Linked DNA regions of Oryctolagus cuniculus. The protein of the gene in region 1 purifies or fractionates together with the protein of each later gene. This does not show direct contact. Links are inferred from orthologs where the notes say so. Each region holds a gene or a part of one and is shown in the gene's direction. Other genes may lie near its edges.

The links.
Region 2: the proteins of PLK1 (region 1) and E3 SUMO-protein ligase RanBP2 purify together in Homo sapiens (affinity purification with mass spectrometry; 3 studies listed by BioGRID and IntAct, with this or other methods). This does not show direct contact. The link is inferred for Oryctolagus cuniculus from reciprocal best matches to the Homo sapiens genes PLK1 and RANBP2.
Region 3: the proteins of PLK1 (region 1) and ERCC6L purify together in Homo sapiens (affinity purification with mass spectrometry; 9 studies listed by BioGRID and IntAct, counting the BioPlex papers as one, with this or other methods). This does not show direct contact. The link is inferred for Oryctolagus cuniculus from reciprocal best matches to the Homo sapiens genes PLK1 and ERCC6L.

The regions. Positions count from the first base shown.
Region 1 is NC_091450.1:15,668,647-15,672,293, reverse strand, and holds part of PLK1 (serine/threonine-protein kinase PLK1), read left to right. Parts: intron 1-402; coding exon 403-622; intron 623-3,647. UniProt on the Homo sapiens protein: Serine/threonine-protein kinase that performs several important functions throughout M phase of the cell cycle, including the regulation of centrosome maturation and spindle assembly, the removal of cohesins from chromosome arms, the inactivation of anaphase-promoting complex/cyclosome (APC/C) inhibitors, and the regulation of mitotic exit and cytokinesis.
Region 2 is NC_091433.1:100,113,184-100,116,930, reverse strand, and holds the start of E3 SUMO-protein ligase RanBP2, read left to right. Parts: upstream 1-1,229; 5' UTR 1,230-1,367; coding exon 1,368-1,439; intron 1,440-2,031; exon of another isoform or gene 2,032-2,142; intron 2,143-3,747. UniProt on the Homo sapiens protein: E3 SUMO-protein ligase which facilitates SUMO1 and SUMO2 conjugation by UBE2I. Involved in transport factor (Ran-GTP, karyopherin)-mediated protein import via the F-G repeat-containing domain which acts as a docking site for substrates.
Region 3 is NC_091453.1:52,294,968-52,298,714, reverse strand, and holds the start of ERCC6L (DNA excision repair protein ERCC-6-like), read left to right. Parts: upstream 1-1,230; 5' UTR 1,231-1,247; coding exon 1,248-1,390; intron 1,391-3,747. UniProt on the Homo sapiens protein: DNA helicase that acts as a tension sensor that associates with catenated DNA which is stretched under tension until it is resolved during anaphase. Functions as ATP-dependent DNA translocase. Can promote Holliday junction branch migration (in vitro).

The DNA.
Region 1 (3,647 bases):
TTGGTGCTCACCGTCCTTTTACAGATGCGGCCCCAAAGGCCCTACAAAGCGCAGGTTGCTTGTCGTAGCTGAGATGAGGGCAAAACGGTGTTTAAACAGGTGCAAGACCTCAAAGCCTGTGTCCTCAAGGCGCTGCAGTGGAGACGAGCAACTTTAGGTGTGCAAGGGCAAGTCTGGGGGAAAACAGCTTAATCTGGAGTTCCAAGAGGGAAGAAACGTGATCCTTCTCACTCGTCAGCTCCGTGAGGTCGATAAGGGGGAGCTTGGCGATGTTCTTAGTTGTGGAACCATGGCTTACTTGAGACCCGGAGCTGCCCTGTGGGCTGTGGTCCCGCTATGACAGCACTGCTGTCCCAGTCCACGGCCACGCCCGGCTCAGGGCTTTCTCTGTCTCTGCTCCAGCACATCAACCCTGTGGCTGCGTCCCTCATCCAGAAGATGCTGCAGACAGACCCCTCTGCCCGCCCGACCATTAACGAGCTGCTCAGTGACGAGTTCTTCACTTCCGGCTACATCCCTGCCCGGCTGCCCATCACTTGCCTCACCATTCCACCCAGGTTCTCAATCGCTCCCAGCAGCCTGGACCCCAGCAGCCGGAAGCCTCTCACCGTCCTTAATAAAGGTAAAGCAAGGGGAGGGTCAGACACAGAACCCCAGAGAGAACCGAGGCCCCTAATATCACTTCTTCATGCTTCATTGAAGGAGACAGGAACAGTTTCAAATACACACCCTGAGCAGGCTGTGGGAGCCTCCAGGTCCCCACCATCTGAGCAGTCACACCTGCCCTGCGGAGCCTTCCCTGTTTCTCTGATATATTCTTAAAGTTAACCTCAGACATCTTGCCATTGTACCCATAACTTCAGTATGCGGCTTCGATTTTCTTAGGAAAATCTAACGTCACGTGCCATTACCTAGGTTGTCATTTCCTCTGGGTCTCTTCTATAGGACAGAGTCAGGAAATACTTACTTTAAAGGGGGACATCTGGGTGTATGATAATGTTTGCGATTCCCTTTTTCGTAGCATTTTATTTTGCTATTATTTCAAGGTTAAAAAAAGGTGGAAGAACAAACAGGAAGCTCCTCTTCCGTCTACCCTGTTCCCTAGATCCACCAGTTGCCATTTTTTTTTTACATTTACTTTTATCTTCTTCCTCTACCTCCCACGTATACTGCACATGAGGGTACTTCAAAAAGTTAATGGGAAAAAAATGGAATTAGAAGTTTATTTTGGTGCGAAGTTGAACCTGTAGTTTTTCATAATACAGGTTTTTCCATTAACTTTTTGAAGACATCATTCATTTGCATTGCATGCACACAGAATTGTTTAAAAGTAAGTTGTGTATGTAAGTATTCCATTCTTACCCTTAATACTTCAGTGTGTATTTCCTAAAAACAAAGATTATTTTATATAACCACAGTGCATAACAGTTATCAAGCTCAAGAAATTTAACATGGATACAATATAGTTTTAGAGCAATCTTCTTTTTAAAATATAGACTTATTTATTTTATTTGAAAGAGTTACAGGAGGAGAGAGAGATCTTCCATCAGCTTGTTCACTCCCCAGATGGCTGCCATGGCCAGGGTTGGGCCAGGCCGAAGCCAGGAGCCAGGAGGTTCATCTGAGTCTCCCATGTGGGTACTGGGGCCTGAGGACTTAGGCCATCTTCCACTGCTTTCCCAGGTGCAATATCAGGGAGCTGGATCGGAAGTGGAGCAGCTGGGACTAGAACCAGCGCCCATATGGGATGTCGGCACTGCAGGCTGCAGCTTAACCCGCCACGCCACAGTGCTGGCTCCAAAGATATGTTGTTTTGTTTTTTTTTTTTAAAGTAGCTTGAAATACTTCCTCTAGGTGTATCTCAGTTTGATAGACAACTTAAGTTCATTTGTTTGTTAGTTTTCAATATTTAGGGATTACTTTCTAGAATTTTATTGTAGAATAACTTTAGGCTTATACAGAAATTCTAAAAGATAATAGCAATTGCAGAGAGAGTTCCCATATACCCTTCCCTTGGCTTCCCGCGCATCAGCGTGTTGTGTAACCACAGAGAAGGACTAAAACACAGGGCAGTATCTTTTCTTTTTCTTTTTTGAATTCTACTTTTCACTTTGTAAATTTTTTTTTAAGATTTATTTGTTTTACTTGAAAGTTAGAGTTATGCAGAGAGAGAGAAGGAGAGGCAGAGAGAGAGAGAGAGAGAGAGAGGTCTTCCATCTGCTGCTTCACTCTCCAGTTGGCCACAATGGCCGGAGCTGTACCGATGCAAAGCCAGGAGCTCCCCGCTTCCCGGGTCTCCCACGCGGGTGCAGGGGCCCAAGGGCTCAGGCCATCTTCCACCACCTTCCCAGGCTATAGCAGAGAGCTGGATAGGAGGTGGAGCAGGCGGCAGCTTCACTGCTCCCCCTCAGCGTCGGCCCCGGTAGTTTCACACTCCAGGCTGTCTTGGGCCCTCGTCAGGTTTTCCACTTCCGCTCTTTCTGTGGATTTGGAGTTCCTCGCGCTCACACTGAGGTTCTAGACTTTGGGGGAGTGCAGCAGAAGTGATGCGCCCTTCTCCGTGGACTCTGGTTTGTTTCGTGGGTTTTTTTTTTTTTTTTTGGACAGGCAGAGTTAGAGAGAAAGGTCTTCCTTCCATTGGTTCACCCCCCAAATGGCCACTACGGCCGGTGCGCTGCACCGATCCAAAGCCAGGAGCCAGGTGCTTCCTCCTGGTCTCCCATGCGGGTGCAGGGCCCAAGGACCTGGGCCATCCTCCACTGTACTCCCGGGCCACAGCAGAGAGCTGGACAGGAAGAGGAGCAACCAGGACAGAATCCAGCACCCCAGCCGGGACTAGAACCTGGGGTGCCAGCACCACAGGTGGAGGATTAGCCTAGTGAGCCGCGGCGCCGGCTCCATGTAGTCTATCAGGGGTACACATTGATTTTTTTTTTCTCTTGTTAGTGGTGGTGTTTATTAACTGTGATCACTTGGTTACCGTGGCATCTGATGGGTTTCTCTTATTTTTATCTGAGAGAGAGAAAGCTCTCATCCACTGGTTTGTTGCCCAAATGCCTGCAACAGCTGGGTCTGAGCTAAGGCTGGAGCCAGGAGCTCGGTCCAGGCCTCCCATGTCAGTGGCAGGGACCCAGTTACTTGAGCCATTGCCAGTGCCTCGGAGGGTCTGCATTAGCAGGAAGTGGTGAGTCAGGTGACACGCAGGTGTCCTAACCGATGTATGACTGCTAGGCTCAGTGTCCCGTGCCGAGTTTAGCGCCCACGGCGGGGCCTGCCTGCAGCAGTGCTCACTGTGTTCTCGTGCTCTTTCTTTTCCCTGCTCCTGCGTTTCACTAGTTGGCCCTCTAAGGAAGAGCTGGCCCTCTCCTTGTTTGCTTATTTATGTCAGTAATGAACTCAAGGATTGTTTATTTTGTTCTTTGGGCTATATTAATATAATACTGGGGTTTTTTAAGGATTACTTTTCAGTTTAATTTTGAACTTACAGCTTTTTTTAAAAACAAAAAACTTCATGGATGTTTTCAACTTTACCCAAAGGCAGAGAGAAGTGTGCCGTGACTCCCCACGTGTTCGTCATCCGTTGTCAGTAGTTACCAGCACAGCTACTAGATTTTGATCTGTTCCATACCTTCCTCCTCCTCCCCTTT
Region 2 (3,747 bases), on another chromosome or scaffold:
AAGAGTTAATGCATGTGAAGTGCTATGAAAAGAGCCTGCAGCAGCAAGTGTTTACTTGTTAGTTACGGCTATTTTTACCAACATACTTCCCAAGGCTAACTTGTAGTTCCACTTATTTCCTGAGGGTTCTGACTTCCAAGTCTGTCACAGATCTTTGTCTTATCCTTTCATCTACATACGAGGCCAACTCCATCTCTATGTATTTCACCTCAAGGGAAAGAAACCAGCTACCTAAAATAGGATATTCCATCCCAAGCTAGATGCTCTTTACATATTATTTGTTAAAGTACAGCAGTCACACTGGTAACCCAAGAATCATCTTTTCTTACCACAAAGATTGAAATAAAGAAAAAGATCTGTTTTTCCTTCTTCTTCATAAAGGTAATGCTTGTTCAATATAGAAAACACGGAAAATCCAAAACGGATAAAGATTACTCAGGGTCGGTGCTGTGGAGTAGCCGGTAAAGCCGCTGCCTGCAGTGCCGGCATCCCATATGGACACTGGTTCATGTTCTGGCAGCTCCACTTCCGATCCAGCTCTCTGCTGTGGCCTGGGAGAGCAGTGGAAGATGGCCCAAGTCCTTGGGCCCTGCACCCCATGGGAGACCAGGAGAAGCACCTGGCTCCTGGCTTCGGATCAGTGCTGTGCGCCGGCCACGGCGGCCATTGGAGGGTGAACCAACGGCAAAAGAAGACCTTTCTCTCTGTCTCTCTCACTGTCCACTCTGCCTGTCAAAAAAAAAAAAAAAAAAAAAAAAAAAAGGAAAGAAAGAAAAAAGGATTAGTACTATCAAGAATTCGATGTGTCCTGTCCTTCGGCCACTGAAATGTAAGTTGCAATCCGCCAAAAAATAGTATTTGTGGCCTATCTTTTTAAACGCATACGTTTTAAAATAAGTGCTTCGTATTCACATGTGTCCCACACGATGTACTTTAGCCAATCACCTCCAGGATTGCGCCAATTTACAGGCTCAACCAAAATGGCCCGACATCTTTTTCCTTCCACAACATCACGTGATTTTAACTAAGGCCAAACACGGAACGCTCTTAGGAACCCACGAGGTAAAACGTTATCTCGCGGCGGTGAACACCGGGCTCTCCGCCGCAAGCAGGAGAATCGGCCTCAGATTCGGCCACCCCGGCTGCGCCCGCTCGGGTAGAGCCCTCGGCCGGCAGTTCTAGGCGGGAGCGCCGCACTCGATGGCGTGGCGCACAGCGATGACGCAGCACGCACGCACGCCGCCCCGCCCCCTCCGCCGGCGACTGCGCTGCGTCACGGGTTTTCAAGCGCTTCGCTGCTGGACCCTGCGACCGCAGCGGGGCCTAACGCCTGCCGGCCGCTCGCCGGGAGTCCGGTCGGCGGCGCGATGAGGCGCAGCAAGGCCGACGTGGAGCGGTATATCGCTTCGGTGCAGGGCTCCGCCCCGTCGCCGCGAGAGGTGAGTCGTGTCCGGAGAGGCCGGGCCCTGGCCCAGCGGCGGCGCCGGCGCCATGGCTCCCGGCGCCAACCGCTCCCTGGCGCGTGCGGCGGAGGTCCGGGGCGGCTCGCCCTGCCCTGTGGGCGGCGCGGCGCTCGGGAGCGCTCGGGGAGGGGCGTGGGGGCGCGGGGGACGTCGGCGTTGCCTGCTTCCTGGGGCGGGGCGGGGGGCCTTCGTCCTCGTCAGGCCTGTTCCGTGCGGCCCGCGCTGCCCGGGCCCCCGGCTGGCGCCTCGGGCGGGCTCTGCCGTCCCGCTGCGGCCGCCTCTGGGCAGGGCGGCTGTTGGAACGCGGCGGGCTGTCCCCGCTGTGACGCTGCCGCGGCCGGGCAGGCGCCCTGGACTGCGGCCCGAGCGCGGGTGACCACGCGCAGTCCTCTCAGCCCCGCACGCCGAGCAAGCTGCTGTTTTATTTGCGGCCGCTTCCCCTTTACAGACGGGGTGCTCTGAGCTCAGAGTTTGCAAGTCTTTTTCCCGACAGCCAGTTCTGAGCACGTTTCTCCCTCCTGGATTACTTGGAGGCGGCGGCGGGGAGTGGGGCAGGTTACCACCGGTGGGCGCGCGCCGGCTCGTTGGTCTGCCTGCAGTTGAGTAGTTGCGACCCTGCCCTGGCAGACGCAGGTGGAGAGCGCGTTGAGTATCCCATCTGTAAAGCGGGCTTGATGAGGTGCGTGGTCGGTGCCCAACACCTCCAACGACGCCTGGCACGCCGTCAGCCCTACATGGGCGTCAGCTGCATCTCCTGGCGCTGGTGGTGTTGATGTTGGAAGTGAAGGTCTAGACGGCTGCTTCTGCATGGACGTGCGGGAAACGAGAAGTCTGTGTTGGGTGCAGAAAAGTTGTAAAGTTTTTGTATGGTTTTTTCCATAACACGCATTTCCCACGAACTTTGAGTTCTCATATTAGTGGTTGATCATGATTACAGTGCAACATAACGTGCCTTGTATCGTAGCCTAGTTATCTTACTTTATGCTCCAATAACTAAATACTGAGTCCTGCAGACGGGGAAGGTACTTGTCCAGGGCCAAGTGGATGGCTCAGCAGGGTGTTGGCAGTGGGTCTGATTGGCTTTTTTAGGAATAGTGTAACGGCCTATAGTCTGTCTCTCTGGAGAAGACACATAGGTTCCTACGTGCAGATGCCATTTCAAATCGCTGGCATAGTTTTTGTTTAAAGATTTATTCATTTATTTGAAAGGCAGAGTTGGTGGGGGCTGGGGACTCGAAGAGAGAGAGCTTCAATCCGCTGCTTCGTTCCCCAAATGGCTGTAAGGGGCAGAGCTGGGCTGTTCTGAGCCAGCAGCCGGGGCTTCTTCCGGGTCTCCTGTGTGGGTTCAGGGTCCCAAGCACTTGGGCCGTCCTCCGCTGCTTTCCCAGGCCCATTAGCAGGGAGCTGGATTGGAAGTGGAGCAGGTGGGACTATACCAGCTGCTGCCCATATGGGATGCTGGCACTGCAGACAGTGGCTTTACCTGCTGTATCACAGACCTGCCCCTGCATAGTCTTAAGTATGAATGTGTTAATAGTGTTAGAACCTTGTTGAAGGTTTCTGTAACTCCTAAGACTGGTATACTTTTTTTTTTGTTCTTATTTTTTGAAGCAAGTTTAGCATCTCCATAAGATTTTTTTTTTAAGATTTATTTATTTATTTGAAAGAGTTACAGAAGGAGAGGCAGAGAGAGGTTCTCCCTCCGCTGGTTCACTCACCAATTGGCCACAATGGCTGGAGCTGTGCCGATCTGAACCAGAAGCCAGGAGCTTCTTCAGGGTCTCCCATGTGGGTGCAGGGGCCCAAGGACTTGGGCCATCTTCCATTGCTTACCCAGGCCACAGCCGAGAGCTGGATCAGAAGTGGAGCAGCCAGGACTCGAACCGGTGCCCATATGAGATGCCGGCACTGCAGGCAGCGGCTTTGGCCCCCCTCCATGAGATTCTTAGTGGGGACCTTGGCTCTCAAATGTTAAGAAGCTGCCGCCTGTAGTTGCAGCCAATTGGGAAGTGAACCAGCAGATGGAAGACCTCTCTCTCTGCTTCTCTTTCTCTCTGTGTAACTCTTTCAAAGAAATTAAAAAACAAAAAACAAACAAACAAAAAAAACACGGTTTGAGACAGAAGGTAGAGTATTTCTACTATATAATTTCTGTCAGATAAAGAGGATTAGTTATGGCCACCTCTCAAACTTGAAGAATATTGTTTTAATTGGGTATTTTTCTTAAAGTGGATGCCTGAGAACTTCAGCAAAATATGAAGTAGCTAGTATGTAACTTTACAAT
Region 3 (3,747 bases), on another chromosome or scaffold:
CATCTTCCACTGCTTTCCCAGGTCATAGCAGAGAGCTGGATCAGAAGTGGAGTAGGCCGGCGCCGTGGCTCACTAGGCTAATCCTCCACCTAGCGGCGCCAGCACACCAGGTTCTAGTCCCGGTCCGGGTGCCGGATTCTGTCCCGGTTGCCCCTCTTCCAGGCCAGCTCTCTGCTATGGCCCGGGAGTGCAGTGGAGGATGGCCCAAGTGCTTGGGCCCTGCACCCCATGGGAGACCAGGAGAAGCACCTGGCTCCTGGCTTCGGATCAGCGCGGTGCGCCGGCCACAGCGCGCCGGCTGCGGCGGCCATTGGAGGGTGAACCAACGGCAAAAAAAGGAAGACCTTTATCTCTGCCTCTCTCACTGTGCACTCTGCCTGTCCAAAAAAAAAAAAAAAAAGTGGAGTAGTGAGGACTCCAACCACTGCCCATATAGGATGCACTGCAGCAGACAGCAGCTTTACCAGCTACATCACAGCACCTGCCTCCCAATTAGGGTCTTAACCACTACTACAAATGTCCACCCCTACTTACTTCTTAAATGAAAGCTTTGGCTTAGTTTTTAAATTTTTTAAAAAAGATTTATTTATTTGAAAGTCAGAGTTACATACAGAGGGGAGAGGCCAAAATGGCTGGAGCTGTGCCTATCCGAAGCCAGGAGATTCTTCTGGGTCTCCCACACGGGTGCAAGGGCCCAAGGACTTGGGCCATCTTCTGCTTTCTCAGGCCACAGCAGAGAACTGAATCAGAAGTGGAGCAGCCGGGACTTGAAGCGACGCCCATATCGGATGCCGGCGTTGCAGGCGGCGGCCCCACCCGCTACGCCACAGCTTAGTTCTAAGATGCTTTTTCGATGTGAGTTTAAGTCATGGGAACTACGCCTCCCAGGGTGTTTAATTCAAAGCAGACTCTGTGTCAGGCATCGGCGAGCAGGAAAAGGAGGGTATCTGGAGATGCAGGTTTGGGGTGCGCAGGAGGTGGAGGTCTCCAGGGGCCACTACACTGACAGCGTATCAGGCAGTCTCTCTACTCATAAGGATATTACACACGAATTCACTGAAGCACAACTTGAACGGAGTTGGAAAGGCGACAGGATGACGTAATCTAACCCGCGCCGCAAACGCAGCCTCCAGCGAGCGTAGGCGCAGGCGCAAGACCTTTGTGGGCGGGACTCAGGCCGTGGGGCTGGAACGCGGGGCCGCGGACTGGCTGGCCGCAAGACCGACAGTTGGCCGTGCCTCATTGGTATGCGCACAGCGCATGCGCGGGGCGGGAGCGAGCGAAATTCAAGCTCCCGCCGAGATACGTTGAACAACCCGGTCATGGAGCCGTCCCGTGGATTTGCGGAAGCCGAAGCCTTGAGCCCGGAGCAGGCTGCTCGTTACTTGAGGTATGTTTGGACTGCCAGGCGGATCTAGCTCGCAGGCCCTGTCTCGGAGTGCCGGTGGCGGGGTGGGGGTGGGGGGTGAGCGGAGTGGCTCTTGGACCCTCTTGGGGGCCCAAACTGCTAAGGCAGAGCCTTGTGATTAGTGCGGGCCTGAGAATCAGCTCTGGATATGGGTCAGACTTCTAAAGCTTGGGGAACCCTCAGGGCCCCCTCTTCTGGTCAACTAATCCTCCAGTCCGAGCCCTTTCAGAGCTAGAATCTTTCCAGACTACCAAGCCCCAGGCCTAGGAAAACACCGGCCTTGCCCCCAGATTGCTTATAATCTTGTAGTGGAAACTGAGCGGCAAATCAATAATTGCTATAATGTTCAGTAAGTGCTGTAAGACGTGTGAAGTGCGGAGCACAGTGTTGTAATAAAAGAGGTTACCGACTACAAGGGTTAGAGGAGGAAATATTTGAGCGGTATGTTGAAAAATGATTAAGTATTCACAAGATGGCTAAGGGGAGGAGCATCGTGATGTGGGGATGAGCATTTAAGAGTTTTTAAAATTGTGCTAAACTACACATAAACTTTACCATCTTCACGATTTCATTGGTATTACATTTAACACCATTGGTGTTACATTTACATTATTGTACAATCATTGCCACCACCCATCTCCAGAACTTTAATTTTGCAAAAGAGCAACTGTACCCATTAAATAACTCTACTTCCTCCTTCCCCAGCCCTTGACAACCACCATTCTTCTGTTTGTATGCATTTGACCATTTTATATTCATTATATAAATGGAACCATTGCAGGATTTGTCTCTGTGCTTGGCTTATTTCACTTAGCATAGAGTTCTTGTATCATGTAACAGGATTTCACTTTTAAGACTGAGTATAGGCTGGCGCCGCGGCTCACTAGGCTAATCCTCCGCCTTGCGGCGCCGGCACACCAGGTTCTAGTCCCGGTCCGGGCGCCGGATTCTGTCCCGGTTGCCCCTCTTCCAGGCCAGCCCTCTGCTGTGGCCAGGGAGTGCAGTGGAGGATGGCCCAGGTGCTTGGGCCCTGCACCCCATGGGAGACCAGGAAAAGCACCTGGCTCCTGGCTTCGGATCAGCACGGTGTGCGGCCATTGGAGGGTGAACCAACGGCAAAAGGAAGACCTTTCTCTCTGTGTCTCTCTCTCTCTCACTGTCCACTCTGCCTGTCAAAAAAAAAAAAATGAGTATATACCACACTTTGTTTGTGTGTCTGTTAAGCTTACTTGGGTTGCCTCTATCTCTTGGCAGTTGTGAATACTGCTGCTATGAACATGGGCACGTATGAGGAAACTCCAAAAAGTTCACAGAAAATAGAACCAAAAGATGAGTTTATTTTGCTGCAGAAGTTTTTGAAATCCACACATAGTTATTTCATAATAAACATGCTTTATGAACTTTTTGAATATCACCTTTTTTCAGTCATTAGGATACGTTGATATTATTTTTTAGAAAACTTTTATTTAATAAATATAAATTTCTAAAGTACAACTTTTGTATTATAGCAGTTTTTCCCCCCATAACCACCCTCCCACCCACAAACCATCCCATCTCCTACTCCCTCTCCCATCCCATTCTTCATTAAGATTCATTTTTAATTATCTTTATATACAGAAGATCAACTTAGTATATACTAAGTAAAGATTTCAACAGACTGCACCCACACAGACACACAAAGTATAAAGTACTGTTGGAGTACTAGTTATACTGTTAATTCGCATAGTACAACACATTAAGGACAGAGATCCCACATGGGGAGTAAGTGCACAGTGACTTCTGTTGTTGATTTAACAATTGACACTCTTATTTATGATGTCAGTAATCACCTGAGGCTCTTGTCATGAGCTGCCAAGGCTATGGAAGCCTCTTGAGTTCACAAACTCCAACTGAAGATCACCTTTATATGATTTCAAAATTTTTTTGCACTAAAATGAGCTTATCTTTTAATTCAGTTTTTCCACAAACTGTTTGAATTGCCCTTGTGAATAATTTTTTTGAGATTGTGCTTTCAGTTTTTTTGGATGTATATGGAGAAGTGGAATTCTTGGAACATATAGTAATTCTCTTTTACATTTTTATTTTTTTATTTTATTTTATTTTATTTTTTTTGACAGGCAGAGTGGACAGTGAGAGAGAGAGACAGAGAGAAAGGTCTTCCTTTTGCCGTTGGTTCACCCTCCAATGGCCGCCGCGGCCGGCGCGCTGCGGCCGGTGCACCGCGCTGATCCGATGGCAGGAACCAGGAGCCAGGTGCTTTTCCTGGTCTCCCATGGGGTGCAGGTCCCAAGCACCTGGGCCATCCTCCACTGCACTCCCTGGCCACAGCAGAGGGCTGG